Coturnix japonica: one gene and its partner. The protein of the gene in region 1 interacts with the protein of each later gene in a pairwise test. Links are inferred from orthologs where the notes say so. Each region holds a gene or a part of one and is shown in the gene's direction. Other genes may lie near its edges.

Evidence for each region.
Region 2: the proteins of ABL1 (region 1) and MSH5 interact in binary tests that used the Homo sapiens proteins (3 or more experiments, as listed by UniProt). The link is inferred for Coturnix japonica from reciprocal best matches to the Homo sapiens genes ABL1 and MSH5.

What each region holds. Positions count from the first base shown.
Region 1 is NC_029532.1:4,609,452-4,624,525, forward strand, and holds part of ABL1 (tyrosine-protein kinase ABL1), read left to right. Parts: coding exon 1-261; intron 262-3,994; coding exon 3,995-4,079; intron 4,080-4,443; coding exon 4,444-4,621; intron 4,622-6,902; coding exon 6,903-7,087; intron 7,088-9,127; coding exon 9,128-9,280; intron 9,281-9,865; coding exon 9,866-9,955; intron 9,956-10,195; coding exon 10,196-10,360; intron 10,361-12,866; coding exon 12,867-14,566; 3' UTR 14,567-15,074. UniProt on the Homo sapiens protein: Non-receptor tyrosine-protein kinase that plays a role in many key processes linked to cell growth and survival such as cytoskeleton remodeling in response to extracellular stimuli, cell motility and adhesion, receptor endocytosis, autophagy, DNA damage response and apoptosis.
Region 2 is NC_029518.1:52,064,937-52,080,470, forward strand, and holds MSH5 (mutS protein homolog 5), read left to right. Parts: upstream 1-6,176; 5' UTR 6,177-6,265; intron 6,266-7,027; 5' UTR 7,028-7,028; coding exon 7,029-9,458; 3' UTR 9,459-9,878; intron 9,879-11,047; 3' UTR 11,048-11,101; intron 11,102-11,366; 3' UTR 11,367-11,488; exon of another isoform or gene 11,489-11,788; 3' UTR 11,789-12,098; downstream 12,099-15,534. Other genes in the region: AKAP7 (A-kinase anchoring protein 7), read right to left, coding at 3,835-3,979, 13,157-13,269.

The sequences.
Region 1 (15,074 bases):
TCAGAGAGTCGCTTCAACACCTTGGCAGAGTTGGTCCATCATCATTCAACGGTAGCAGATGGGCTCATCACCACTTTGCACTACCCGGCGCCCAAACGCAACAAGCCCACTATTTATGGGGTGTCTCCGAACTACGACAAGTGGGAGATAGAGAGAACTGACATCACTATGAAGCACAAGCTTGGCGGCGGACAGTATGGAGAGGTGTATGAAGGAGTCTGGAAGAAATACAGCCTCACGGTGGCTGTGAAGACACTAAAGGTAGGACCTGCATCTCTGAGCAGTCCTGTTTGTCTCCTTTTCAGCTAAAGCTGGCTGCCTTCCTCCAGCCCCACGTGACATTTGGGGTTGGTGATGGCCGTGCCTTTCTGTACTTTGGCCTACAATTATAGGTAACTTGATGAGACTAAGCAAAGGAGGATGCTAACAGTGCAATTTTTGCTTTAGAACAGGTGAAATGTAAGAGAAGTAAGTACTGCTGTGGCATCCCTTGCATTCGGGAGGTAGTAAAGGTGTGTTGATCATAGGCGAACGTGCTAACGCAAGTTGATGCCTTAAGGAAGGTTGTGGTCTGTGACTCAGCCAACATAACATTCAAAGGCTGCATTTCAGGGAAACTCTTAATGCTTTGATTGTCTGTCTCATGTGGCTTCTTTCCCAAAAGACAAGCTCCCTGTGTACCCAGTAGTCTTAAGCAATTGTTCACAGCTGTTTATTATCAGATGATACAAGAGGAGGAAAAAGTGTATCCAAGCTAAAGTGTATTAAAATTCGTAAGAGGGCTTAATGAGGGACTGGGTAATCAGTTCTGCTTCTGGCTCTGCTCCCTTATTTCTGAGTCTTGGTCTCTTTGCCTCTTGAAATGCAAATAATGCTCTGAGTTCAGAAGGTCATTGCTTAATTCATTTATGTTTATAAATGTGTCTTGAGATCTTCTGGCACCATCCACGCGCATTGCATTTGATTGCTTAATAGGAGTTTAATGCTAACTTGACACCATGTTTTCTCTCCTCGCATGAGGACGTGGTTTGGTCTTGCAGAAACAAACAGAAGAGGGTTTTTTGTTTGTTTCTTCTTGGGTTTTGTTGCTTTTTACAAAGGAACTTTTGGAGTGGAGAGAGCTGTATGGAGGTATAGTGTCAGGGGGAGAAAACTGCCTTGATTTGGGGAGAATATTTCTTCCTTACTGTCTGAACAGCAGTAGGTCTGGGTTGCTATGGCCGCAGAAAGTATTTCCATTTTGGCCTTTTGTGTATGGTGGAGATTCCCGTTCGGGCTCCCCAGTGGAGAAGAGCAGAAGCAGCAGCTTACACAGGCAGCGGGTGACACCTAGTGTTAGGGCCACCGCACGGGGACTGCGGGGCTGCTCTGAGCACTGTGCAATGGGACCAGGCTGTGAGCAGGGCGAGCAGAGTCCACACCATACATGAGAAAGACAAATTGCTTCCCGGTGCGTTCAGTTTGCTGCAGCATCTTCTTTCTGCTTTCTGGCTTTGATGTGAGGATCCCAGATGTCTCTTGTCCCTCATCTATACCAGAGTATCATTGTTGCATTCCTGTACCATCTCTCTAAAACCCATCGAGAAAGGCAAATGACGCATTGTGCCATCAAATCTCTGTTTGCGCGTCGGAGAAACCTCAATACAGACCATGACTGTTGCGAATACATCAAATAAATATTTAATGAAACATGACTGAAAGTGGTTCATAATGTAATATGGAACAGCGTGTGCCACTGGGGAATGCAGGAATAACCAAAAAGAGAGTTAAGAAACACTTCAGTCTGCAATTATGCACACTAAAACCATCCTTAAAAGCAAATTTATACTCCACCTTCTTTTAATCCATCAGTCTCCTGCCTGACAGGTGGGGTTATAGCTCCCTTCAAAGTTGTGGGAAATATTTAACAATCACATTTATATTCTGGTTCTACATGGGAAAACAAGCTCTCAGCAGCTTCTGCACCAACATTCAAGTGACTCGCTTCATTTTCTGCCAGGGAATGTTATTTTACAACTTCATACAGTTCTCCTTGTTCCTTCCCTGTCTGTTCCAGAAGAAGGATGGAAGGGAGGGAGGGTTGAAGGCACTGTAAATCCATGCAGTTTGTGTTGTCGAGCTGTACTCAGGAGCACCCATTTGTTGTTCAGTTCTCTGTCGTGTCCAGTCGTAGCTCACAGCTACACAGAGCCTGGATCACACCAGAAGACAAATGCAGCATGCCCTGTTTTTCAGTCTCATGTAACTGGCAAGTGCAAGGCAACGTGTTGGGGCTTAGATGGTTCCCATTGGAATGTTCCAATTGGAAACCCAGCGAGCTGCACAGGATGCAGCAGGATTTCAGAGGGTCTGCTGCCATGACATGGCATGCTCTGTTTGCTTTTTTGCTTCTGATTCTGTTGGAAAGGGGCAGGAGAGCTGCAGGGACTGGGCTGGAGCATCATGCCTGTCTTGTTCTGCAGCCTGCTGTGCTTGTACCCCCAACTCAGTTCCTTGGGAGGGCTATTCAGTGGTTGAGCCACTGAGAGCTGCCCAGCTTATTTTAATGCTTATTTTTGACCCCAGCAATGCTTATTTTTGAGCCCTGCTGTCCCTTAGTGAGGTTTGTACAAGTCCAGGTTGAGCCATTGTCCTGTTTGGTTGAGAAAATACCGTATTGCTGGAAGTGTTTTATTTATCTTGTGGTTTTGTGCAACAGAAGATGGAAATTGATAAAAAAAAAACTGTGCCATCAGAGTTTCAGGGAAATCATTGTTACTGTAATTCTCTGCATGCATCCTTCCTATTAATTTGGTCAGTGAGAGGCGATAGATTTAAAACCACGGAGCAGCAATGCAGAGAAACAGCCTTGTGCAGGCTGCAAAGCATACAGAAGATAAGTGCGTGTTTAGGGTCATTTTGCAACCTGGATTATTAACCCGGTTTCCTTTGCCAAAGAAAATGGTTTACAGTTCTGTTCCTCAGGACCTTTGGGTGATTCGTTTTGACAGAGCGTGTTCAGAAAAACACAGCTGCCAATCAAGCTAATTGGCAACGAATAGCGAATGATGGATTGAAGCTGTTTGAAAGAGGCTCTCATCGCTAACTGCAGAGCAGAGTGCTGGCTGGATCTTACAGCAGCAGCCCACTGTTATCATTCTCACCAGCAGCAGTAAATCCTTTCCAATCCTTCCTTAAAACACTTCGTCCATGTAGGCTGTCAACATTAATCCACCAATGGAAAAAAAAAATATGGATTTAGAAAGAAACATTGCTTTAGGAATGGATCTGTATTTTTGCACCACTTTGAAATGACCTTCGGGCCGTGGGGGTATATTTGCTTCAGAATCTGTATCTTCTGAGCAAGATCGTATCTTCCTCAGCTTTCTGTCTTGCCAAGCAACTTTATGGGTGCTCAACAAATAGGTAGTGACACATCTGCCCAGACCCATTGCGTCATGGGTCAGGCTCTAAATGCCAGGGATGAGATCTGTGAAACCTCAGGCTCTCAATCCCCCCCACCATCAGCCGTGCTTCTCTCTGCAGTGGGGTTTCCTCGCTTAGACCCACTAAAATCAGGGGTTTGCATCTCAGCAGTTGCTCAGACCTTTGCTCGGTTGTAGCCTTCCTTTTGATTTTCTTCTTGTTTCATTTCTTTCCGTGCTGTTGATTTCGTGTGGGGTTTCTTTTTTCTTGTTAGGAACAGGCGCTCTGAGCTTTTTCCTTTTCAACTCCTGAGTGGTCCTGTGAGAGGCCCTTCACAAAAGGGATATGGATTTTCTCACCCCCCAAAAAAAGCTCCCTTACAATAAGAAAGATAAAAATGTGTTTTTAAAAACCCTACAAGAAAAAGCCCCAACAAAACAAAAAACGTTCCTCACTCCCTGGCTTTGTGATGTGGCTACAGGGAAAAACTGCCTTGAAAGAACTGTGGCTGGTGCTGTCACTTTGCAGTTCTTTTTGTGCCCTCCTCTGTGCACGCTGTCCTTGCCAAAGCTTTGCTATTGTTCTGCAGGAGGATACCATGGAGGTGGAAGAGTTCTTGAAAGAAGCTGCAGTAATGAAGGAGATCAAGCATCCGAACTTGGTGCAATTATTAGGTAAGTGATAAATACCAAGCAGGGGGATTTGAACTAAACCCTTGTGCAGTGATATGGATGTTAAGGAGCAGATAAGCTGCTTACCATACCAAGGCTTTAAATACAGGCACTTATTGTCTGGCAGAATTCACAATTTGTACCGGTAATACATGATTTTTAATGATCTCGTCTCCCTAACGTTTTAAGTTGCCAGAGCCTGAAGCAGGAAATTAAAATCCTCTATTAACCAGTTCCAAGCAAAACTCATTCTCTGTACAATCCCCCCTCTTTGCAGCCATTAGAGATATATGTTGCCTGGGATGACAGCCTGGAAGAGTCACTGATACTCTCAAATGTTCATAGGAAACTTTATCTTGGTCCATAGGGGTGTGCACACGGGAACCTCCTTTCTACATCATTACGGAGTTCATGACATATGGGAATCTGCTGGATTATCTACGTGAGTGCAACAGGCAGGAGGTCAATGCAGTGGTGCTGCTGTACATGGCAACCCAGATCTCTTCAGCCATGGAGTACCTGGAGAAGAAAAACTTCATCCACAGGTACGAAGGGCACCGAGTGCTCCTGAATCTCAAGCACAAAACACCACCTGATGTATTTTGAGGTTGTCGTGGCCTTCCCTTCAGCTGCAGCCCCTATCTACTGTATTCTGATGCAGTATGTTGACCTGTTTATAGGATGGTCTTCTAATGGTTTTCCTCCATTTTTTTCCCTTTTTTGAAGCAGATGTAGGTTAAAGATGTATCAGTGCTTTTACAGTTTGATCAAACGCTTTAAATATAAATGCTTCCTCAAGTAACAGGTTCTTAGTGGCTCACATAGGCCTCTTTGTTGATTTCAACAGCCATTAAAGGCTGCTGCAGATGGGTGACACTGCTGGGTGCTCACAGCAAAGCCACCCTCTTAGTGCCGTCTCACCCTGTGTCCATTCTTGTTTATCTCACACTTTTCCTCCTCTGCAGAGATTATTGTCCACCATTGTCCAGATTATTTGACTTTAATAAGTATCTTTGCAACCTTAAAGTCCCAAAGACTCTGACCTTTAAGTGTGCTGCAATTATGACCAGAGCTTTGCATTCTTTGTCTGTAGGAGCGACCTCCTAGCAATATAATGACACATCCTGTGCGAGGGATGAGAGCTGCTGAGTTCAATACAAGATGTTCTCTGTGCCACAGTGTGACCTTTCCTGCCCAATTAGCTAGAATATAGAATTAGCACATGTTTTTTTATAGAGGGAAATATGAAGATCGCGTGTAAAGTTCTAGGTGTTCCTCAGACATGCCTTGCTTTTTGCTGCCTGAAAGAGCTGTTTAAATGCTTCTGTCAGTCATTGAAGCAAACGGTGATGCTGCAATTAAAATTTCCACCCTTTGAATTGCTCTGTTGAAAGTATTCCATCCCTTCTGCCTGTAGGAAGTGAGCTTTAAAATCTGCCTTGTATGAATCCCGTTCGTCTGCTCTCCCGTTCGTTTCAATTCATCTTATTTCTGATGACCCATTTATCTAAAATAAATAGTAGCGTTTTTCCTTATCAGCCACCCCCACACCCACCTACCCAATTATTTTAAGAGTGTTGTCACCATTCACATCCGTAGATTCAAATGCTGGGCTGTGACCTCATTTAATGAATCAGGAAGGAGGAGGAATTTGATTATGAAGAGGAGCTTTTATTTAGACATACATTGTAGTAATCAGAATTGATAAGGAGATACATTCAAAAACATTGTGAAAATATAATGGGCATCTAGTAAGGTGTACTTTTTCCCCCCCTTAATTTATTCCCATTGAGCAGAACAAGCAAAAGAAACAGCAGAGTCTGCCTCCTATCTAAAGAAGATCTCACCTTTTCTGGTAGAATCAATTTTTAGTTCAATGTAACATAATCTGAAAAAGTGCTTTTAATGAAACCTGGTATTAGGAGAAATGTATTTCTGTGCTTTACATTTCTATGCAGTGCTGAGGGTGCTGGCAGCATGTTTGAGCCGGGGGGGTGGTAAATGCAACGTGTGCATCTCTCACCTGCCAAGGTGAAAAAACAGAGGAAAAGCTCAGTCTGCTGATCATCCAGTCTACTGAAAACAGAAGTACTGATAACAGAGGCCGGGGTAGTTTGAGAAGGGCAAAACCTCTCGTGTTTGAAGAGTAGGGCTGAAAGGGTAAGAAGAAACTGCTGTCCTGCAGCTGCCCACACAGGCTTTGTTCTGCCTCCTCACTAGGCAGCTGGGGTTGCTGCTTTTGTGGGTGCTGTCATTGAGTCGTCTGTATGGTCACCAATGACTTTTTTAGGGGGGAGGGTGGTAGAAAACATGGTGCTGTAAGATATGTGATACTTGGGAGGGAGGAGGGCACAGCTGGGAGTTAAAGCTGCCTCTGAGCAGGGACTGGGAGAGGAGTTCTGAAGGGTGAACGGTGGTGATTGGGTTGATGGAGGTGTTAGAAAGGTGGGCAAGAAGGGGAGGCACTGCGACGTCTTTAATTCAGCGCTCATCCTCAGCTATTGATAACTTGAGCACTGACATTTCTTTACATTATTTTTATCCTGAGGGTGGCAGCTTTTATTGAAAGTGAGGGGGTTCTTGGAGCTTTCATTTTGCATTTAAAAAAAAAAAAAAAAAGAAGTTGGGCTGACAGTCTTACAAAGCCGGAATGGAAAATAACTTTCCCTCTTCCATGTGTGTGCAGAGCTGCATAATTTCTGTGTAATACCCTGATCAGAATAATCACGTGCAGGCCCAGGCTTCTTTGGGAACAGCAAATTTCCTCTCTCTTGCTAGAAGTGAGAGGACAGACTTCTCATTGCTTGGTTTTGTTCTTGTTTTTAGGGACCTCGCTGCCAGAAACTGCCTGGTAGGGGAGAACCACTTGGTGAAGGTGGCAGACTTTGGCCTGAGCAGGTTGATGACAGGTGACACGTACACTGCCCACGCTGGGGCCAAATTCCCCATCAAATGGACGGCACCAGAGAGCCTGGCCTACAACAAGTTCTCCATTAAGTCTGATGTCTGGGGTAAGAATTTGCATGAACAAATTAATTCAGATTATGGTCTTTTACAACCTTCGTTTCCAGGGCTGTGAAATGAGGATGCTGTGAAATGTTTCAGGAGAGAGCAATGCTCCCTGCTCTGAGCTGTGTTGTATCAGAGTGCAGGAATTAATCTCTGCCAAGTCGGTCTTGGAGTGGAGAAGTGAGGCTGCAGACCTGGCTTTACGTGTTTGAGTCATTGACAAGTATGAAAACAAAGGACACTGTGGTGTTTATAGAGTTGTATGAAATGGGGCTGGAGGGCAGCCGTGCTGCTGACTTGATGGAGCTCTGGCACAGAACTGTGAAGCAATATATTGCTTTATCGCCAGGAACTTTCAAACTACTTTAAGGAGAAAAGTGAGGATCTGGTTCATTTTATGTTAAAAAATTATGTGTGTATCTGTCTGTCTGGTGATAGCTCCGAGCTCGTCTTTCTGCATTTTAAAAGAATAATCTTTGGAATGAGATGAGCAGAAACAGAGAGAAAATTTGATGACAAATGGTTATTGAAGAGCCCTGAGGTGCTGGTGATAAGACTGGGCTTAGCTAAATGGAGCTAAATTCTATGAAATCTGACTGCAGAAAAATCTCATTCTACTTCTTTTTTTATCGGCCTTTCTTTGGGTTTTATATCTCTTCCATAGCTATTGGTCAGATCCTCAAAAGTGCCCGGTGATACACGATAGAAGTTTGCAGGACTTCATCCCAGGGGTACATTGAAAACATTACCCTGAGCATCTCCTATGTGTTTAAAAGATCAGACGGTGGTGGAGCAGCAGTGAAGTTCTCTGGAGTTTTGAGGAGACGGTGCAGAGAGAGGCTTTATTTTGAAGGAACTCTTAGAGCACGGCTGATCCAAAACGTTTTAGCGATGAGGGAGCTGAGCTAAGCTTTTCTTCTGCTCCGAGCTGCTGTGTGACACTGCTGGCCGCGCCGGGTGGCTGCGGGGAGCCCTTGTACTTCAGTAGTGGAGTGCTCTGGGAAGAAAGATCTGAAAGGGATATTGGGTATCTTTAATTAGGGTTGGTGTGACCTTGCAGAGTGACAGTCAGAGCGGTGGACTTTGGGATCTGATCAGAGCAAGCTGGCTGTCCCCAGAGGTCACGGCTGCTGCTGGCCATGCCAGGGTTTAGATGCTTTTCACCTCGCTGCCTCCAGACAGAAATCAAAGAAAATTGTGCACAGAAATGTCTAATGTAAATTGCCCTTGGTGGTGTTACCATGTAATGTGATGTGATTTCCTTACTTATGCAGAATTGTAATCGCTTTCTCTTCAGTTTAAGACCAGAATAGGGTGACTGAACCAATTACATGCAGGTTGTTGAACTGGTGTTGAGTCTATTCTGCATGGCTGACTCCTGGGTTAGCTGCCCGACCCCGGTGCTGACCTGCATCCCCGCTGAGTCTGGGGACTTGAATGCCTCTCCTGTTTAAAGAACCTCTTTGTGCTCTCCCCTTTTCTGCTCAGCTTTCCCCATGACCAAAATGTCTCATGCAGACTTGGTCTCATTGGTAGCAACTACTGAATATCTCTCACCAGCGGGACCCCCTCTTCCCTTCCAGTCTGCAGCTAAACAAGGGCACCCCAAAAAACACTGAGCTATTAAAACACGCGAGTCCTCTAGGGAGAGACTGCAGATGAGAGGAGCTGTCAAACTGGGAGAGAGACTGCAGTGCTGCAGTGAAACAGTTTCAGCTAATCCACTGTGAAGTCTCTTAATTGTGCCTTTAATAGGACTTGAAGGATCTCAAGGCGTTCAGGTTTGAGACAACTGATACATTCAAAATTAGTCTAATTCTATTCTGTCATATCGCAGGAGACTTGTCTGTGCTGACGAAGGGGCTTGTTCCACTGCTTTAACATTGAAGCTAACACTGAGCATGGAGTCTGAGCCACTCAGAGCTGGTTTAAGTGTGCAGCACTGTTTAGCGACTACTCCCACTAAATGTCTCCTCAAATTTAAGATGAAAATAAAGTTTGTTGATTTTAGTTTGTTTGTTTTATTTTTCTACCCACTGCAGCCTTTGGTGTTCTGCTATGGGAAATTGCAACCTATGGCATGTCCCCTTACCCTGGGATTGACCTGTCTCAAGTCTATGAGCTGCTGGAGAAGGACTACAGGATGGAGCGCCCTGAAGGCTGTCCTGAGAAAGTGTATGAGCTCATGAGAGCATGTAAGTGTTCTTCAGCCTTGCAAATGCCATTACTGCTTTGTAGCTCTTCAGCAATGCAATGAACGTGGCCAGATCTGGTCACATCCAGCCAGATACAAGAAACTCTCTGTTGGTTCTAGTGAAGACGCAGTGCTGTGTGGAGATGCTTGGTTAGAGCTGCTTTCCCCAGAGGATGGAAGCACTATGAAACCAGCCATTCTTCCCTGCTGGGAGCTCGTAGGCCTTGGGGAGAGATTTGCTGTTTTTTTTCTCCTTTTCCCTGACTGCTTACAGATAAACTTGTGCTGCAGGGGTGAGGCAGGAGTCTGGTAGGCTTCTTAAGGGAGTAGGTGTTGCTTTTCCTCTGTGGCCTCTTGGTACGTGACTTGTTATGTGGTATTTTTCCTTCCCGAGATGTTCCATGCCTGCCCTTACTTTGGCTCAGTGGTGGTTACAGATGCCCAGCACCATTCACACCAAGTTTCCATGCTGGTGTTTTCTTTTGGCCATTTAATAAAAAGGGTTCTGTGATAGTTGGCACCTCCTCGTGTACTGTGATGGGTGTGTAATGCTGGTAGGAAGTTCTCAGTGCCGGTGTTTTTGCAGGCTGGCAGTGGAGCCCCTCTGACAGGCCTTCCTTCGCTGAGATCCATCAGGCGTTTGAGACGATGTTTCAGGAGTCCAGCATATCAGATGGTAAGTCTGGGTCCCTTTGGGGCTGGCAGTTCCAGGGACAAGGGATGCCTGTGTCCTGAACTCTGCACGTAGCTCAACAAGGGCACGTGTCTAACTATAAATAGCCAAATGGCTGACCAGCCCTAAGGATCTCCCTCTTTGTGCTGTTTCATTTGTTTTGTGCAATTAACTCGGAGCAGTGCTCTGGTTTTTTTATATTCTATGTATTACAGTAATCTTTTTTTCTTGTGTGCATTGCAGAGGTGGAGAAGGAATTGGGAAAGAAGGGCATGAGGAGTGTAGTGAGCAATTTCCTTCAGGCCCCAGAGTTACCAACCAAGACACGAACATCGAGGAGAGCTGCTGAAAGCAAAGATGCGAATGAGAGCTTGGAGACTGCACACGCTCGAGGCCAAGGGGAATGTGGTAGGTTTTAATTAAAGTCATTATTCCTTCAGGAAATAATAGGAAAAACAAAAGGCATGCTCAGGTCTTTGCTTAGGAAAAGCCATGTCTGAAAACAGGTGCCATCTTTATGTATCAGCATTGTATTTCTGGGTGACAGGCTGCTAAGTTTGCCTTCCTGCTTTCAGAACTCCTTTCATCATTTATTACAGAAAGGCAGGCTGTTAATCTTGGGACCAGATACAAACATAGAGCATCTGGGAGTGTGAATCCATAGCTGGCTGAGCAGTTGGCGCTATACCTGCCGTTGCTTAGAGAATTCCTTGGAGTTCTTTTAACTTAATGGCAATTGCCTACAGCTCCCTATAGACAAGAGCCTGAGCACAGCTCTCTGGTCACATTCTCTTCCCATTCCCTGGTAGGAGCTATCAGAGGGATCTCCCACTACATCTGAGCACTGGGTAATCTGCGGTGTTCAAGCCTCTTTACTACCACACTGCATAATTTAGAGCAGCACGATTGCTCAGGTTTAGCAAGCCCCATAAGGGAGGTTTCTTCACTGTTCCATCACACCAGTTTTGTGCTTGGAGCACTGAAGAGTATTACTCTTGGCAGGTACCAAATATAATTGCAGCAAGGGACAAAGAGGTATTTACAGAATCTTCCATGAAATTAAACTCTATTCAGTCTGTTTCTCCAAGCATTTCTCTTCCATTCTGAGGTAATGAACGCAGTGCTGAGGCACTGAATGTATACAGTAGATTCGTATCCAGTTTGCTTGAAAAACAGCAAGATAAAAACAAAATGCAGTGTGTGATAAACACGCCCTGTCTGACCATTCCTGTGAGTGACCTTTTCTGGATGACGCCAGACTCACCTAGTGGTACATCTTTCAGTAGCAAATGTACATCTCGATAAAGAAAGGGGAAAACACACACACAAAAGGGAGTGTAAAATGCTGGAAAAGTGACGGTGACTGAAACAGGAAAGAAAGTTATTCACAGAATGTACTGATTTCTGAATTGACTTGTTTGCTAATGAAAATAACAAAGAGCCTTCTGTTTCTATTGGAAAAAGATTTGAATAGTGAGCTCACTATTTTTGTTATAACTTAATTAATGCAATGTAGTGTTAAAGACCGATGGCAAATCCAGCCCGCTGTATACAGGAGGTATAATTGCCTAGTTTTGTAAGCTTTGAAGTAAAATAACTTCATTTAAATACTTAAGGACTTTGAGAGATTCAAGTGCAGCAGGAACAATATGATTTTAACATTATGCTGGGTATTATTTCAGTCTTTATTGTGGAAAAACACATATTTCCTATAGATGTTTCATTGCAATTTCCTGTTTAGTTGTCAGTGTTCTCATAGTCCAGTGGCTGGAAGCTGGTCCTTAATGAAAGCTACTAGTTTTCCCTGGGTCTCCAAAGCCCCACTGTGTCTGAACAGCACTGTCTGAAGTGCTGTAGGAGCTCTGCTGGTTTGTTGAGGTCTGCCTCAGTTTACATGTGAATGGTTCAGTGGCACTTAGTCCTTTGGAATCATACTCTTTTCCCTATGTACCAAACTGTTTTTCTTCTGACTCCTTCCTCAACCAAAATCCTACCCTCAGCATGATGATCACCAGTATGTGACTGAGAAGCAGCCTTCTTTTGATCTATGTGTCTGCTTCGTCTCCCTTCTTACTACCTACTTGAGCTCTAAATGTATATGCTGCCCTAAAGGCATTGCTCTCTTGAATTAGCATGCCATCTGAGTGCCTGGCCTGGAATGAGACCCCCAGTCAGTCAAATACAGAGACATGCAGGACCCAGCATAAATTTATTATAAACCACTATTCATTTTTAAATACCTCTTGTAAGTGGAGAAAGGGTCACCCCACTGTTTTCTTCTGGAGCAATCCTGCTGAAGGAGGCTGTTATTCCCACTTCCCTCCACTACTGTGCTAAGCTGGTGATCTTTCTGGTGATGTGACCTGAGGCATTCAGCTGCCAAGGGATGTCTTGGTTTTGCTTGTGAAAGAGTTATTTCCATTCCCTATGAAGAGCGACGTCAGGGAAGGAGGTTAGGAGTATCAGAAGCTAAAAGAACAAGGGTGGATTACATAGATTTCTTATTAATTCGGAGGGTCAGACGTTCTAAAGGCAGCAACCTCACAGGGACCAAAAGAAGCAGCATCATTGTATTTATCTTCTTCTCAGTACGAAGTTCAGACAAGTCTCTAGATGCAAGGATGGGAATCTGAACATAAACAGTTTGTGTTTGTATATTGCTGTTTAAATCAGAAGCCTACAGGGAATGTAGTTTGGCAGCCAAGTCTGGCCACCTCACAGGTGAGTGTGTGGAGGATTAAGGATCACATTCAGTCTGGGCTTCTGTGTAGCTGTACTTGAATTATTCCTGGTGGTTTTCTTTTCAGAACCTGCACCTTTTTTGGAGGTGCTGAAATGGTTTAGATCGTGGAAGAAAGCAGCTTGTCCTGGGTACTGAAGCAAAGCTCAGTAGTCTCTTCTCTTTCCCTTGCAGACCCTCTGGACCACGAACCTGCTATTTCTCCTCTGCTGCCACGGAAGGAGAGAGTGGCCCTGGAGAGCAGTTTGAATGAAGATGAGAGGCTGCTTCCAAAAGACAAAAAGCCCAACCTCTTCAGTGCCCTTATCAAGAAGAAGAAGAAGACTGCCCCCACCCCTCCAAAGCGGAGCAGCTCCTTCCGAGAGATGGACGGCCACTCGGACCGCAGGGTGGGTGGGGAGGAGGAGTGCAGGGATGCTGGCAATGGAGCTTTCGTTGCTCCTCCCACAGAAGCAGCCGACCCCTCTAAGTTTCAAACCCCAAGCAATGGGGCCGGTGTCACCAACGGGGTTGTTGCTGGGAACTCTGGGTTTTTGTCTCCCCACTTACGGAAGAAGTCCAGCACAATGAGCAGCAGCCGGGGGGTGTCTGGGGAGGAGGAGAGCAGTTCCAACTCCAGCAAGCGTTTCTTAAGGTCCTGCTCAGCCTCCTGTGTGCCCCACGGTGCAAAGGACACGGAGTGGAAATCAGTGACTCTGCCCCGGGATCTGCAGTCCACAGGACGCCAGTTTGATTCCTCCACTTTTGGGGGGCACAAAAGTGAAAAGCCAGCACTGCCTCGAAAGCGGGCAAATGAGACCAAGACTGACATTGCTGTCAGGGGGACAGTGACCCCCCCTCCACGGCTGCTTAAGAAAAATGAAGAGACCACTGATGATGTGTTCAAAGATGCGGAGTCAAGTCCTGGCTCCAGCCCTCCCACTCTGACTCCAAAACTTGGCCGTAGGCAACCCGCCGTCCCCCCCTCCTCCAGCGTGCTGCACAAGGACGATGGAGTCAAATCCAGTGCCTTAGGTACCACTGCGACAATGGACCAAGGTTCTGCTGCCAAACCCAACTCTGCTGCATTTGCAGGTGCCAGCAAAGCTTCTGTTGAGGAGCCGCGGCTCAGGAGGCTCAAGCAGACCTCTGAGTTGGCAGGGAAGGACAAAGGGAAGTTATCAAAGCTGAAGCCAGCCCCTCCAGTTCCACTGTCCTCATCCTCTGTTGGCAAGCCTGGAAAAGTATCTCACAGTCCCAGCCATGAAGCAGCAGCAGATGTGGTGTCTGGTCCTAAATCCAAACAGTTGACTCAGGTTGCAGATGCTGTGAGCAGTGAAGCTGTCAAGCCAAACCAGTCGGGGGAAGGTGTGAAAAAGCTCGGGATCCCTTCTGTACCAAAGCCGCAGTCCTCTACAAAGCTGCTGATGAGCACAGCAACCTCAGCTGCCTCTTCCTCATCTGTCCCCTCTGCCCCAGGGGGGGACCAGCCATCATCTACAGCCTTCATCCCTCTCATATCCACCAGGGTCTCTCTGCGGAAGACCCGTCAGCCCCCAGAGAGGATTGCCAGCGGCACCATCACTAAGGGGGTGGTGCTGGAAAGCACCGAGGCTCTACGGCTCGCCATTAGCAAGAACTCAGAACAAATGGCGAGCCACAGCACTGTCCTGGAGGCCGGCAAGAACCTCTACACCTTCTGTGTGAGCTACGTGGACTCCATTCAGCAGATGAGGAACAAATTTGCCTTTCGGGAGGCCATCAATAAGCTGGAGAACAACCTGCGGGAGCTTCAGATCTGTCCGGCGACGGCTGGCAGCGGCTCTGCGGCCACGCAGGACTTTAGCAAACTGCTCAGTTCCGTCAAGGAAATCAGCGACATCGTTCAGAGGTAGCAGAAACCAGGTTGGGAAAGAATAATAAAGTCACAGTGGGCCAAAGTCAACTGTGGAGAGATTGAACAGCATGTGTGGACTGACCAAGGACTGGGGCGTTTGGGTTCGGGCTGTGCAAAGACGCACAGACTGTTGATGGATGCCCCAGCTCCAAAGAGCAGGGCTGTGTTCAAGAGGCACTTTCCACCCTCTTAGCCCAGATTCCCTGTGTTTCATATACTTGTAATCGTCTTATCTGTGGAGTTCCTGCCTTGTGGACTACAAGTCTAAGTGCTGATGTCACGTCATGCCTTTTGATTAATATTTTATTGTTCTGGACTAAACGTTAAGGCTGAAGCCGGACTGATGGACACTGAGATGCCATCCTCCTCAGGAGGACTTCCTACTGCGTTCTGCCCCACTGTACACACGGCTGAGTGTCTGAATAGCAATATTTCCTATTGCATTTCTTGGGAGAGCTGCAGCGTGCATCCCTTGCCTGAGTCTGACATTGAACCTGGCAGTAATG
Region 2 (15,534 bases), on another chromosome or scaffold:
AAATGTAGCCATTTTTCCTCTACTGTTGCCTTTAGATAACTAAGTATTAATGTACACAAAACTAGAAAAGCAAGATGCATATATGTTGGAAAGATGCATCGACCCTCTGAGGGCCTGAGGAAAGTGGGGATCAGAAAGCTCCATTTTCTTAATGTCATGTCACTGAAGAACATCTACCCTCACTGCAAAAAAGACATTGAGGCCCTGGGACACGTTCAAAGGAGGGCAACAAAGCTGGTGAGGGGTCTGGAGAACAGGCCATATGAGGAGCGGCTGAAGGAGCTGGGAATGCTCAGCCTGGAGAAGAGGAGGCTCAAGGGAGACCTTATTGCTCTGTATAACTTCCTGAAGGGAGGTTGTAGTGAGCTGGGGATCAGCTTCTTCTCTCGTGTCATTAGTGATAGGACCAGAGGGAATGGTTTCAAGCTGCGGCTGGACATTAGGAAATATTACTTCTCAGTAAGGGTGGTCAGGCACTGGAATGGACTGCCCAGGGAGGTGGTGGAGTCACTGACCATGGGGGTGTTCAAGGAACGATTGGATGTTGTGTTGAGGGACATGGTTTAGTGGTGGAAGCTATTAGTAATAGGTGAAAGGTTGGACTGGATGATCTTTTAGGTCTTTTCCAAGCTTGGCGATTCTATGATTCTATACCCAAATATTACAGCTAGAAAAAGCCAAATGCAGTACTCATATAAAAGCAATTGAGAGAATTCTGTTCAGATTGTGAAAATTACACTTCCCATAAATTCCTTCAGCATTATCACGTTGCAACTCAGTTAAAGCCAAAGAAGCATCTGATTCTTGCTTTGAATACCAGTTGATTCACTGCTGTTAAGAAACATTTAATGAGACACATACTCAAAAGCTGAAAGACTGTCTCATTTTAGCATTCTGAAAAGCTGCAAACACAAAAAGTTCAACAAGTACAGAGATTTAAATAAATATACCAAATAATATTGTCAATATCTACCAAATATACTTCTAAAGAGCTTTTATCTGTAATGAGCTATTTACCACATTCCTTAATCAGATACAAATTCCAAAACATTCTGAAGGATATTTGTGAGTAGCTGAACCTTACTTTAATCCTGTCAGCAGTTTACGGGCTGTTGAAAATGTTGTACCATGGTAAATAATCTTTTACCTTCCCTTTTTCTAAGTATTTGAATATATATAAGTACCTAATTGGATGTGCAAACATATGCCTATGTATTAGAGAGATATATACACATAGACATAGCTATAAATCATCCATAACACAAGTAAAAAATATTACATATAGTAAGAGAGAAAGATGTATAAATGAATCTAATTTTGGTTTTGACTCATCTGGACTTTGCAGTATTGTTGTCGCTAACTCAAAGAGCCATCCTATATATTTTTTTTTAATCTGCACCACATTTTCTGTTTGTTTTGTAACAGGAAATCCAAACAAAGATGGCCCAAGTGCAAACAAAAACATTAACACGAAATAACATTTAGGATTTGCAAAGTGTTTGGTGTGCTGAAAGCGCTGTGTTTAATAATAATTACTCAAGACAGACCTGAGGACCAGTAAGAACTTCCACCATCAGTGTTGGAGGATAGGGAAACAAGGTACCACAAGGCACAAAGCCGGTTACCAACCACACCCTACATGGGGTACAGGAAACAACACTACCTTTTAGTAGCAGTGTTTATGCAAATCTACTCCAAACAACAGATACTGAATAGATGGTAGTAGCTGCTCATAAACGCCCTTTGTCTTCTCCACTACAGGGTTAGTTTTGACATAGCATGAAGTATTAACAACTTCAGAAATTGAAGAGTAGGTGGAAAACAGCAGATGAGGCATACAAACGCAGTGTAGTTTTTATGGTGATGAAATAATAGTCTTTGTTAGGGAAAAAAATGGAGTATAATGAATTAATCCCATGTATTTCTGTCCATTTCAAGCCTTATGTTGTTGTAGCTTTCCACTGAAATCATCTCAGACAGAAAAGATGCCTGTATCAGCAGTTTTCTTTTTTGCTCACTGTGCCTTTTTACAGAATTTGAGGATGAATGGACACACTACCTTTGCAAAGTTCCCATCTTATTACAATTTCTTAGTCTTTAAGGATGCATCTTCAGAATATGCAGAATTTTTCTTCTTTTTAAGATTTCTTGGTCCTTAAATATGAAGTTATGGCTTTCCTTTCGAACTGCTTACAATGAAGATGTTTGAGCTAGAAGGGATGACAGCAGTCTTGAAAGATTTTCCTAATGTACATTTTATTCTCTCTTTCTGAGGATTCCATCATTCCTTGGTCATGAATATTTTCATTAATAATGCTAGGATGTTTTTAAGTTGGAAAGGTTATATCCACTGACTTGCTTGTTTGATATCCCCCTGGTCAATTTTTGTTAAGAATATTTCTGCTTATTACCAGAACTCTGGAAAATGCTGCAATGTATATGAAAATTAGTTTATCGTAGTCTTTAAGTAAGCATTTTGTTGTTGAGGACACCTGTAAAAGATGTTTTATATTTCTTTCTTCTTGTTAGAGGAACTGCACAAGAACAGATGTACTCTTTTTCCTTGAGTATGTCAAAATGAAGACTTTGATTGAATAACATTTTTTTAAGACTGCCCATGTTCTTGTTGGAAAGGAACCACCGCTCATTAACAACATGCAAAACAGAGTTCTGCTCTATTTCTGATTTTCTCATTCTAAAGAAAATACAAAGTTAAGTTTTCACATGAGCTTTTGGCATGAATGTCAGTATTCCATGTCTTCCAGCACCACTACATTAAAACTGACATGACCCAGAATATAAAATCAACGGTATACAAAGAAGAAGCATAAGTTGACCTTCTAAGACCATGATCTCTGTTATAAACCTCTTCTAAGATTCACATCTGACCCAGCACAAATAAAGATCCTGCCTAATTAGGAAAGGGGGGAAAATTACAGTTAATATTAAAAAATTTAATTTTGCTCTATGACTACTTGCCTGTCATCCCATTAAAGACCTCCAAAGTGTGGGAATGGTGTCTTTCAAGATAATAATTTACACAGTACATACCTAGGTTGAAAGAGTTGACTGTGTTTAAGTAAATATCCAAAAGATTTTCTAGGTCTTCACTTAGACTATTTAAAGTCATGTTCCTGATATGACTAACAGCAGTCTCAACCAAGCTCTACCATCAGCTAGTGGGAACTAACAAAGGTTTATGACAGAGCTTTTATCCCATAGACTCTCGGTGCATAGACCTTCCGTGCATACTACTTGAAGTGCCAGCTATATATGATTTGTGGCAAAAGTAACAAGTCATGCATAGAATAACTACTGAGATGTGAAAGTTCAAATACACAAATGTAATTTCTGGCATTGAAATGATCTACACAAGGTATCTGTACAACTTCAGAAGTACTGATGGTACTCTGAGAAGCTATTAAGTTTGTTATACCATTTACATTCTCTCAAGATATGAGTAAGTGAGGTCACATCTCTCCCATACCAGAGACATTTCACTTATCTTTCATCATCTGTAATTACTGTGCCTAATCAAATTTGGTTACATGCACTGCCTTTGTAGTCAAGAGAGAGAAGAGCAGCCCTCACTCATTTTAAAATAAGGAATGGAACAGGGGATGGATGGTTAACCACAAGCTTTAGTTGTCATCAGGAAGCACTACACAGTGTACCTGGAGAGCCTGGAGAGCGAAGACTTGAAGGACAGACTTCTGTCAGACTCCATAGATATTATTGCAAAAATTTCCAAACATACAGTGCAGAAAGAATGGCTTTTATCATAGATAAATTATAGACATCATTGATAAAAGAGGAAAATGAAGATGTACTTACCAAGAAAAACAGAGGACTCACAGTAGTAGTAGCCGTTGGGTTGCTTCTTTTTCAACATAGAGCAAAGATCAAAGCGATGCAGGATTTCAGCTCCAAAATAATGGCTTTTATAATCTTCGTAAAGGCTCGAGTCAATTTTTTTCACCTTTAAATATTAATATAAAGTTCAATTGCAGATTCTGCTAGAAGACTGAATTTTCACATTTATGCCTATAGTTTTCATTTTAACCAGAGATATTGTTAGAATGGAAATTTGCTTCCAAAGGAAAGAAGAGTACTAAACCAATGCTGTGCCAAATATTCTGTTTCAGCTAAGCAGTTATCTACTACAGAACTTAAACAAAGGATTAAAAATGTCATTACACCTCCTTTCTACTCATCCCTCTTCAGTCATGTAGCATACACAACACGGCAAGTGCTTTAATTTCAAATGGTTTGCAAGAGTCTTCATGGAACATGTAACTGTAAATTATTCTCCATATCAGCACCAGGCAGGTTATCACAGAGAAAAATCTCAAATGTTTGTCAAGGGCAGTTTGTTGTTTTCAATGTCATCAAACAGGAAAAAATGTACTGGTTGATATTTTTTTCTAACAGACTTGGCGCTGTAGGGACATAGGCTCTGTGATGGATGCACTTGCTGCTGTCCTTTGTTTCTCCCCTTCACCTGCACATTCCTCCATCAGTCTGCAGTCCTGCCAACTCTCTTAATATCCTGGACTCTCAAGGTTTACACAACCAACAGTTGCAATGTCCTGTTTTGCCTGTACTTTCCTAGCAGCCCACCAATTAGTGTCATTGTCAAGGTTTGCATCTTGGTTTCACTTGTGTTACATTTGCCTGACAGCTTTGTGTCTCTACATGTTTTGTTTATGGCCTCCCTCTTCCCCTTATCACCCCATTTGACAAGGCCTTCTATTAGGCAATCTGATGGAAATAAGTATTCCCATACTCCACACACTCAGAGCAATCACTGTGACTGACTAGGTTTAGCTCTTGTTGCTGTCTCCTTAGTCACATTAGTCAGGCTTGTGTCTCTATATGCCACTGTTTTTGGCTTTCTCCTTTTCTCATTATCCCCTTCCACACTGAAAAGGTCCTCCACCAGATGCCCTAAAACAGACAGATGCTCTCTGCTTCCACATCGCTTTATACTATATCCATTCATCCGAGCAGTACACATACTCATTTCTTGCAATCCCTTCACAGTTACTCACATGCAATATGTGCTCATTGGAGGCATTTTTACTCAGTTTTTATTTCAATGAAAATTCACTTCAGGAGAACCTTGTTTCTCTAAGTACCTGAACATGTGGTTCTATCATTTGAAGTCTTGTTCAACAAGGTCAGAAATGTCTTTCCAGTTCCTTAATCTCTGAAATGATGACATCTAGTGGTACATGTTTTCTATTTAGGGTGCACAATCTCCTTGCAAGTCTAAGTGTATTCCAAACTCATTTGTTATTTAAAATATGATATTCTATGGCTAAATTAGTTCTTAGATACTAACGTTATTTTGAATCTAAATCATCAATTGGTGCTCTCTGACTGACAGTTCTTTGAAATACGCTTAGTCTTCCATCAGTAATTTAAAGAAAGACCTTTTCAGCCAGGAGGATTCTTGTCAAAATGTGAAGCCTCAAGTACTCGGTGAAGAAAATGAGGGAGAGATCAATGGAAGAAATCACGATCATCATGCTCCAATAAGAAACAGCTTTCACAAGGGGCTGGGATGGTGCTTGTCAAAAACAGATCGGTCATGAGTGAATCAAATGCTAAATGGCCAGGAACTGAGTTTTGCTGTTGAGACATTACTGGAAGATATTTGGAAAACTGAATGATATTTGTAGTGAGTTGGAGCAGCTGATGACAAAACAATGTAACAATGCAGGTCATGATTCATTTACACAAACGTGTGTATGGATCAGTGGAGAAGAGGAACTGTTCCCACATGGTAAAGCTACAGACACTTGATTACGATGATATGCCGTACTTCGGTGCTCAGTGGGGAGGCAGAAAACACCCGGCCCCTGGGCAGCACCACAGGGAGCAGAGGCCTGTGGCGAGGCGCGGCCGTGCGAAGGGCCCGCACAGCACCGGGACAGGGCCGGGCTGCCAGCCCAGCGACCAGCGGCGGCGCTGCGGGCACAGTGGAGCGGTTCGGCCCCGGCGCGGGGCCTCCTTGACAGGCCGGGAGCCAAACTCCTGCCCGGCTAAGGGAAAGAGGCCGAGATGGAAGTCGCGGCCTTCACACGGCTGCAGTGAGCTGTCCTACGGTGAGAGAGGAGGATGCGTGGAGAGTAAGGAGGAGAAGAGCTGGAGGCAGAGAGCTGACTGTGACTGTAGCCTCTGTAGGGGAGACTGGCTGATCCCTTCATCTACTTGCACAGAAATTGGCACTTCCTGAAGAAGGAGATGCATAAATACCCAGGTAGGCCCAGCTGACCATTCCATGTGGTTGTGTCTTGTAAGGCACTGTGGTCAGTGTGGGTGGGCCTCCCTCTGTGGGCAGATGGTTTTGTATGCACGTACATTTGTGTGAGTACGCTACTGTATTTATGGGTACTTGTGCTTGCATATGGTAAAGCTGCACAGCTCACTTCAGTGAAATGCTGGGTGCAGATCAGAGTTGCTGAGGTTGGGAAGGACCTCTAGCAATCAACCTAGCTCAGAGCAGTAGCCTGCAGCAGGTTGCACTGGATCACAACATCAGGGTTTGAGTATCTCCTAAACCAGAGTCTCTGCAGCCTCTCTGACCTAATCCCAATCTACACAACCTAAAGACAGGTATTCTTTAAGTTATACCTGTTATGTCTGAGCTTCTGAGCTCAGTGCCTAAAGGTGGTTTAGTTTCTCACACTGTGGATTGTAGCAGAATGGTGCAGTGAACATTGCAAAAGCTTCAAAGGGTGTGACAGTACTTCCTAAGAAAAAAAATAGTCACGTGAAAAAAACACTATAATATGATTCCAACATTGCTGTTAGTAGCTCAGTTACAGTCTCCTTAAAAGCAAGATGCATCTATAGTTACTGGCTGCATCTTTTCACCTGAACTGGTAACACCAGGCCTTAATTTCTGTTAGCATCTTAGTTTCTGCAGGCCTGGAATAATGAGTATTAACTTGTTGTCAATTAAAATTAGATCTCAGGATATTCTGGATGAGCTGTGAATAACAATTTTGTTCTCCAACAGAATGAGTGCCACAGCAGCCACGAGTTGCCCCTTGCCACCACTGCTTGCACCTGAAGAAGAGGAGCAAGAGTGTTCTGAGACACATATGTCTGTCTTGTGGTATGCAGGGGAGTTTGCAGTCGCCTACTATGATACAGAAGACTGCTCAGTTTACTTCATGCCTGACACACCTGATAATGAAGGCCTCGAGCTACTACAAAAAGTGACTGGGGAAGTTCATCCCAAATGCATAGTGACAAGTGCAAAACAGGACCAGAATATTGCCAATTTCCTGACCAACCTAGCAGACAGTGACAGCAATAAAGGAAAAATAGAAATTGTCCTGTTTCCTAACATAGATTTTGGCCTGGAAGTCAGCAAGCAACGAATCCTATCTAGACAATTTCCATTTATCCCATCCCATATGACTGCTACAGAAAAAATTCTTTATTTGTCCTCAGTCATCCCTTTTGAGAGCCCACTCGTGATCAGAGCATTAGGGGGGCTCCTTAAGTACCTGGACAGGAGAAGGGTTGGAGTTGAATTGGAAGAAAGCAGTATTGTAGTTCCTGTTTTGGCCTTTAGAAAGTTTGTGCTGTCAGAAACTGTGAATATAGACCAAGACACTTACTGTGTCCTGCAGATATTCAAAAGTGATATCCATCCTTCTGTGTATAAGCTTTCTAGTGGATTAAAGGAAGGATTCAGTTTATATGGGATTTTAAATCGCTGTAGGTGCAAACGGGGAGAAAAACTTTTGAGGCTGTGGCTTACGCGACCTACTCGGAACTTGACAGAACTAAATAAAAGGCTGGATGTGATCCACTTCTTCCTGTTGGCTCAGAACCATGAAACAGTCCTTACCCTTCAGGATTGCCTCAGGAATATAAAAAATGTGCCTCTTATTCTAAAAAGAATGACTCTATCCCATACGAAAGTTAGCGACTGGCAAGCACTCTATAAAACAGTGTATAGTGCACTGTGCCTTAGAGACACATGTCGCTCTCTTCCCCATAGTATCGAACTCTTTCAGACTATTTCACGTGTCTTCACTGATGATCTGCAATACATTGCTAGTCTAATCAGCAAAGTGGTGGACTTTGAAGGCAGTGTCTCACAAAATCGCTTCACTGTTAGACCCAACGTGGATCCCACCATTGATGAAAAGAAGCGAAGGCTAATGGGTCTGTCAGACTTTCTGACTGAGGTGGCACAAAAAGAACTGGAAACGTTGGACAGCCATATTCCTTCCTGTTGTGTGATCTACATTCCTTTGATTGGGTTCCTTCTCTCCATTCCACGGCTACCAAGTATGGTGGATAAAAGCGACTTTGAAATTGAAGGCTTGGACTTCATGTTCTTGTCCGAGGATAAACTGCACTACAGAAGTGCTAGAACTAAGGAGCTAGACAGCCTGCTGGGTGACTTGCACTGTGAGATAAGAGACCAGGAAACACTTATTATGCACCAGCTGCAGACAAAGATCTTGGAGAGGTCTGAAGTGCTTAACAGCGTGATCGAGTATACTGCACACCTAGATGTGCTGTTGGCTTTGGCAGTGATGGCCCGGGAGAACTCTTACTGCCGGCCACGCTTTACACAGCGCCATGGCTTCCACATCAAGGACGGAAGACATCCACTGATGGAACTATGTGCAAAGACATTTGTGGCTAATCCTGTGAACAGTGGTGAGGCTACCAGACGAATAAAGATAATCACTGGGCCCAACTCGTCTGGAAAGAGCATCTACCTAAAGCAAGTAGGTCTTATAATATTTATGGCTCTAATCGGCAGTTACGTGCCTGCAGCAGAGGCAGAGATAGGAGCAATTGATGGGATTTACACAAGAATCCACACTAGGGAATCAGTTTCTGTAGGACTCTCCACATTCATGATTGATCTTAACCAGGTTGCCAAGGCAGTAAACAACGCTACAGAGAGGTCATTGGTACTTATTGATGAGTTTGGCAAGGGAACCAACACACTAGATGGCCTGGCCCTTCTGGCTGCTGTGCTGAAGTATTGGATCAATCAAGGAACCCAGTGTCCGCAGGTCTTTGTCTCCACTAATTTTCACAGCTTAATGCAGCTGGAACTCTTGCCTGACACACCTCTTCTGGAATATCTGGCCATGGAGACCCACCAAGATGGAGATGAGTTGGTGTTTTTCTATCAGATCAAACAAGGAGTATCCACTGTTAGTCATGCTGCCAACATTGCTGCACTAGCTGGAATGCCAGCCAAAATTATTGAAAGAGGAGTGGAAGTGTCAGAACTGATTCGCAATGGAAAAGCTATCAAACGTATTGATCATCCTGCCAAAGGAGACCAGATGGAAAAATGCAAGGCTGTTGTTGAAAGGTTTCTTAGCCTAGATCTTGATGATCCTAATGTGAACTTAGAAGAGTTCATGCATAAAGAGGTGTTGCCTTCTGCAGCCTCAATTCTGTAGCATGGCTATGTCTATAGGCATATATTACAAGTTATCTGCCATGTTCAGTAGGGTGGTTTGGTAATTTCAACAATGACTATGACTAATGTATCACACTACATTTTACTTTTTAAAACTGTCTATAGTGCATGCTATTTCTTATTCCTGTCTAAAATCAGTATGGAAGCTATATATCTCTGTATGGTGCATGGTATGAAAGCAGGAAGACTGAAAGAGGAGAGAGAATTCAAGAACCTCTTCCAGCTGTTGGATCGTGCATTTTGAGCCCCTATTGTTGGATTCTCAGACTGGAAAAATACTGTAGAAAAATCGAAATAGTTCTGCTGGTCTCGTGAGACTATAAAAACAAAGTGTTTATTGTTTTGTGTACAGTGGAAGTAATCATTTCGGTCATTTTAGGATCATCACCAAACGATCACAGTAAGTATGTGCCTTGGACTCCCAGATCAGCAAATAACGTTGCTACAATACAAACCACTAAAGTAGACTCTGATTAATGGAAATACAGAAGGATCTAATGAGCTCTGTGACATTTAATAAAGCTGCATTTCTGGCCATAATGGCAGAGAAACTCCAAGAGTTGATATAAAAAGAATGGAAGTCAGAAACAGTGGGGTTTGACTAAAAGAGAAACACTTTGGTTTTATTGAGAATAATTTTTCTGTTATTTCTGAGTATGTATGCAACACATATTCACGAACAAGTGAATAAAGAGAAGGCATGATATACAGTTACCACAAAAGTAATAACCTTCCCTGCAGTAGCATAAATGCCTTAGATTCATTATCTAAGTAAGACAGAAAGACATTAGATATCTGATTGACTGCCAAAGCTTGCAGTAACTGCTAACAATATTGCTAATCAGAGATAATCAGCAGATATATTGGATCTCACTTCTGCTCTACTTGTTTTCAAGAAGACAAGATTCCACTACCACTATTTCAAGAGAGAAAAATTATATAAGGAAAAAAAATAGTTATATTCATAATTACTGGTACTAAACATTTTATCTGTTTGGTATATTTCACTGAAGACAGTGAGGTAAATGTGAGTGTCCACCAAAAAGATCTGAAATCAGAAACAGTTCAGTGCAGGCTCAGTGCAGAATTTCCTCCTTTTATGGTGTGCATTTATGATAGTACAAAATAAGTAACTTTTGTTATCTCTAAAGAAACTAGGATAGTGACAAATGTTTAACATACATTACATGAAAAATACAAGAGTAAATGACTGCTGCTTTCAGTGTGATCATAATAACACTACCTGCAAAATAATATCTGACATCTTGGGGATATTACCGCTGAAGTTGAATGGTAGCAGTGAACAGCCATGGACTATACTTACTAGTGCTGTTTACAGATTTTTCTCACAAATATATTATCCTTTATTAAATACACATACTGCATTCTAAATATGTGCTGCATAGAGGAATATCGTATGTTAAATATTCTTAAGTTATATTTTTTGAATACTTTCTTGTCAGCCTATGCCTGGACTAAGGATATACAGCTTTTTAATTAACCAGATGCCATCTGAGCAGTGTAACTGTCAGTCATCTGCTAATAAAATTCATTTCATCATATTTGCAGTTCAGACAGCAATACGTACTAAAGGATTTCTGGATGTTATGCAGCATTTATCAGGTGAGCCTCACAACACTCCCTGAAATAAATAGCAGATGAATGAAAAACAGAGGGGTCGTGACTGACCTACAGCAATGTAGCAGGATAGTGAGGGAAGGAGGAATAGAAAGGTTATTATTAAGTGCAAAACTCAAGTTACTTCTTTCACTGTGTTCAGTTGTTCTTTGTACAGAAGATAATGATACTAACCCAGTATTATCACCCAAGTCAGCTGTGAAACAACTAAGCATGTGCAAGTCAGTTATCTCCCTTTGTCTCGTTCCAGAGAACACCCAAAGAAACACTGTGCCTGCTTAACCTGGGGAAGTTTTCCATGGCACATTTAATTTCAGGACTGTCAAACTAAATGTAAAGAATGAGTTTCTCCACTTCTGAGCAGATAAGAAGGTAACCTGAGAAGCTGAGTGGACACTCAGACATCTCCTCCCTTATCCACTTTATCTGAAATGTTATCCTTTATTAATTTCTATTTCCAAGGTTGTGCTTTTTGTTTTGTTTTTACATTTATCATCTTGTCTATGTTCAGCTTAATGCTGCGACTTCAAAGTGGAAAGCTGCTTTCTTCAGATGTTTCACAATTAAACTCAAAATGATAGAGAAGACTGATGCTAATGCCAGTGGATTGACTGACGATGCTTCCTGTTAATTTACAGATTTTCAATACATAATATCTTTCTAAATCTATAGAATACTACGTGTATTATCCAGTATTATGGAGGACCAAGGAAGATTATTCGAAATGACACCGACCCGGTTCTGTCAGTAGCTGTGAATATCAGAACACAGAAAATATGTATCCTGGCCAATACTTCATGCAAGGTAGATGAATGCTTTAAAGAAACAAGAAAGAAAGAAAGAAAGAAAGAAACAACAGACTGGCAAAAAAGCACCTTGAAGATCTGAGATATTTTAACAAAACAGTTACATTGATGAGCAGCTGATATTCTGCAAAAGCTGTGGATTTTTAGAATATTTTTAAAAGCAGCTGTTATAACAAGCAAAAGCTTCAGCCTACGATTTTATGAGCTACAACACACCACCTACAACTGGCTGACAAGTCCTTATTTTGCTTCAGAGCAACTCTGCATTATGTCATGTCCCTGAAGCTACTTCATGTATCTCAGAACTCATTTCATCTTCCGGCTGATTTCAGAATATTCCTTGATTAAGATCTTCACCTTTCGTATTTTATAGGTTTTTTTTTCTAATGAATAAAGTACTTTAATGCTTGCTAAATCAACTGACAATAATTATACTATGTACATAGTTTTAGAAAATATTTCTTCTGAAAATTACTTTCCTGGCCAATGTTGAAAGGTTACATAAAACATTTTATTGCAATGCTAGCAAAGAAATCTTATGGAGATATATCTTATGTTAATAATAATTTACTGTTAAGTTAGTGTGAAATAAAAAGCTAGACAACCTATTATTGCTTCTCTATATTTCTCATAGATATTGTAACTTATTTCTATGTTTGTCTACTTTTTCTTGTCAAAAAAGCTAATAAATGGGCAAGAAATAGATACCGGCAAGAGAATATGATACTATGATTTCATCACTAGTGTGTAATTCACCAAAACATATTCAATCAAGAGAAATGTTAGCCTGCAAATCATGCATAATCAACATATGAATTCCCCTGTTTATTTGCTTATTTTCTCCCAAAGGGGAACCAAACAATATCCACACAAGCAGCATATAAATACGGTGACAGCATTTCTAACTATGTAATCTACACTATAGTTCTAATTCTGTAATTTTGAACAAGTAATTCCATCTTTTGGCTTTGCATAGTTTCACAAAATAAAACAGGCTATGATTTTACTGTAATGAGAATATCCAGAGCATTAACCTACAGTACAGTATAGCACTACTTTTTACACAGTAGATGTACTAATAATTCCTTCTAATATACCTGTATTTTAAAGTCTTACCTCTTCAGCTGGGTACAAAGATGTAAAAACTGTGATGCTATAGCATAAGCAACTCCTTCGTTCATCTATAAATTAAACTTTCTAGATTGCTGCTGAGCTATATGAAATGTGAGCTCACCTGCTTACGTAGTTGTGTTGATTTTGACAACTTCATAAAGGTCAGATGGGGCTTAAAAGCTCTTTCTTCTCCTGCCAAGATGCCCTTTTCTTGAAATATCTTCCTCATAGTCTCTGAAGGGGGAAGAGAAATGTAGCGGAACTCAGAAATTATACCACAGAATGCTTAGAAGTGTGTTTCTGACTGTAGTGTGAATCACAACCATGCCAATATGGGGGGGGGGAAGCATCGAAAGGCAGAGAGATTTCTATCAATAGGCCTCACAAATCTGGCATTAGTAAAATAATGGCAATTAAATAGCAGTCAGTGCTGTCTTCTTTTGCCATCAGATTAAAACAGTCCAGGAGTTATTCTCACTGAAAAGAGTTTTGCAAACTTCAGGAAAACTATAAAGAAATAACATAATTTTCTATCTTTAAAAACACAGAATCATAGAATCATAGAATTACCAGGCTGGAAAAGACTTCAAAGATCATCAAGTCCAACCACAGCCTAACCATAGTACCTTAACTCTAACATCCCTCTGCTAAATCATATCTCTGAGCACCACATCCAAATGGCTCTTAAACACATCCAGGGACAGTGACGCAACCACCTCCCTGGGCAGCCTATCCCAGTGTTTAACAACCCTTTCTGTAAAGAAGTTTTTCCTAACATCCAACCTTAACTTACCTTGGCACAACTTGAAGCCATTTTCCCTCTTCCTGTCACCTGTCACCTGTGAGAAGAGACCTGCCCCACTCTCACTGTAAGCACCCTTCAGATACTGGAAGAGAGCAATCAGGTCTCCCCTCAGCCTTCTCTTCTCCAGACTAAACAGCCCCAGCTCCCTCATCCTCTCCTCATAGGGCTGATTTTCCAAGCCTCGTTGCCCTTCTCTGGACCTGCTCCAGTCCATGTCCTTTTTGAACTGAGGTGCCCAAAACTGAACACAGTACTCAAGGTGAGGCCTCACCAATGCTGAGTACAGGGGCAGGATGACTTCCCTAGTCCTGCTCACCACACCAGTCCTGATACAAGCCAGGATGTCATTGGCCTTCTTGGCCACCTGGGCACACTATCTATAGATATACTATAGATCTATGCATCTATGTATCTCAGTCTGCTATCTGTCTATAGATATGAGGCTATACACAAGATCAGCTTACCTGCCTGTATTATTTTGTGTCTGTGGGAAACATTTCTATGTTTGCACTGAATCCCTGCTAAGCTATTATGCAGCTGTGCACACAAGTGTTCATGAACAACAGATTAACATATCAAAACAGATGACTAAATAAATGTTTGCTGCTTATTCAAATTCAGATGCAGAAGTTCAAATGAAGTCATTTAGTAATGCTACGCATGTATTTCCATGGCCAGCTTATTTTCTGATGTTGGTAAGCTGAGTAAATGCTGAATAAAGCATCAGACTTATTTAAAACTGAAATGGTCAGCAACAAACCCATTTTCTGCCTTCTTTATTTGTCTCTCTGAACAGCATTGGGGATTCTTTGACTTTGATACTCCAGCAAAGGATTAGTCTTACTAAAAACAAGTTCATGCTGCCCTGTGATAGTCTCATGGATTGTAGTCTTTTTTTTTTTTCCTCTCCTACAAAGCTCAAATTTACAAAGTTTAAATTTGATCTATTTACATGTGTATGTATGTGCCCATGTGTGTGTTCCCACAGTGATCAGATGTAACCTCAGCTTTGCTGTGGTATAGATCATTATATAAATTTTGCGGGCTCAAGAGATTGGCCACACCTATTGGCACTAAAATTAATTTCAGTTATATAGTTTTGTAGTACACTTTGACATTTTACAGGTTAAGGTGACTGACAAATAAAATTACCACCATGTTCCTTTCCTCAGAGACAATGAAAATAGAAAGAAATCTGAGGAGATGGAGGGGAAGAAAGAAACAAAGCAAAATGTTATTCTAAGAGCACAGGAAGGGTAGAAGATAATGTAATGCTATTGATATCTATGTGGCCCTCTGCAGAAGCGATCATAAGGAGGGTTTTAAAAGAATGGGGAAAGGAAGCATGGATGTTGTGGGCAGGAAAAATTTCCAGCCCTATGGGACTTTATGAAAGGGGATCTCAAGAAGGAACAAGTACATGAAGGTTCAGCTTCATGATAAGGATTGCCTGAACTGAAAGCAAGCAGAGGCTAATGACAGAAACAACAGACAGACAACGCACATGGGTCTGACCATCTGCCATCTTTCCCTCAGACATAACATTACTAGCTAGACTGAAAAACTAACTGTATTTAATAACTGTATTTTCCCCTATTAGTTTCAGGGCAACCAATGTTTGCACTTTCAAAGTATAAACTCAGAAAGTTAAGGCTGTATTTACAAGCTCTGTGACTTCCTAGAACAAATTTTTG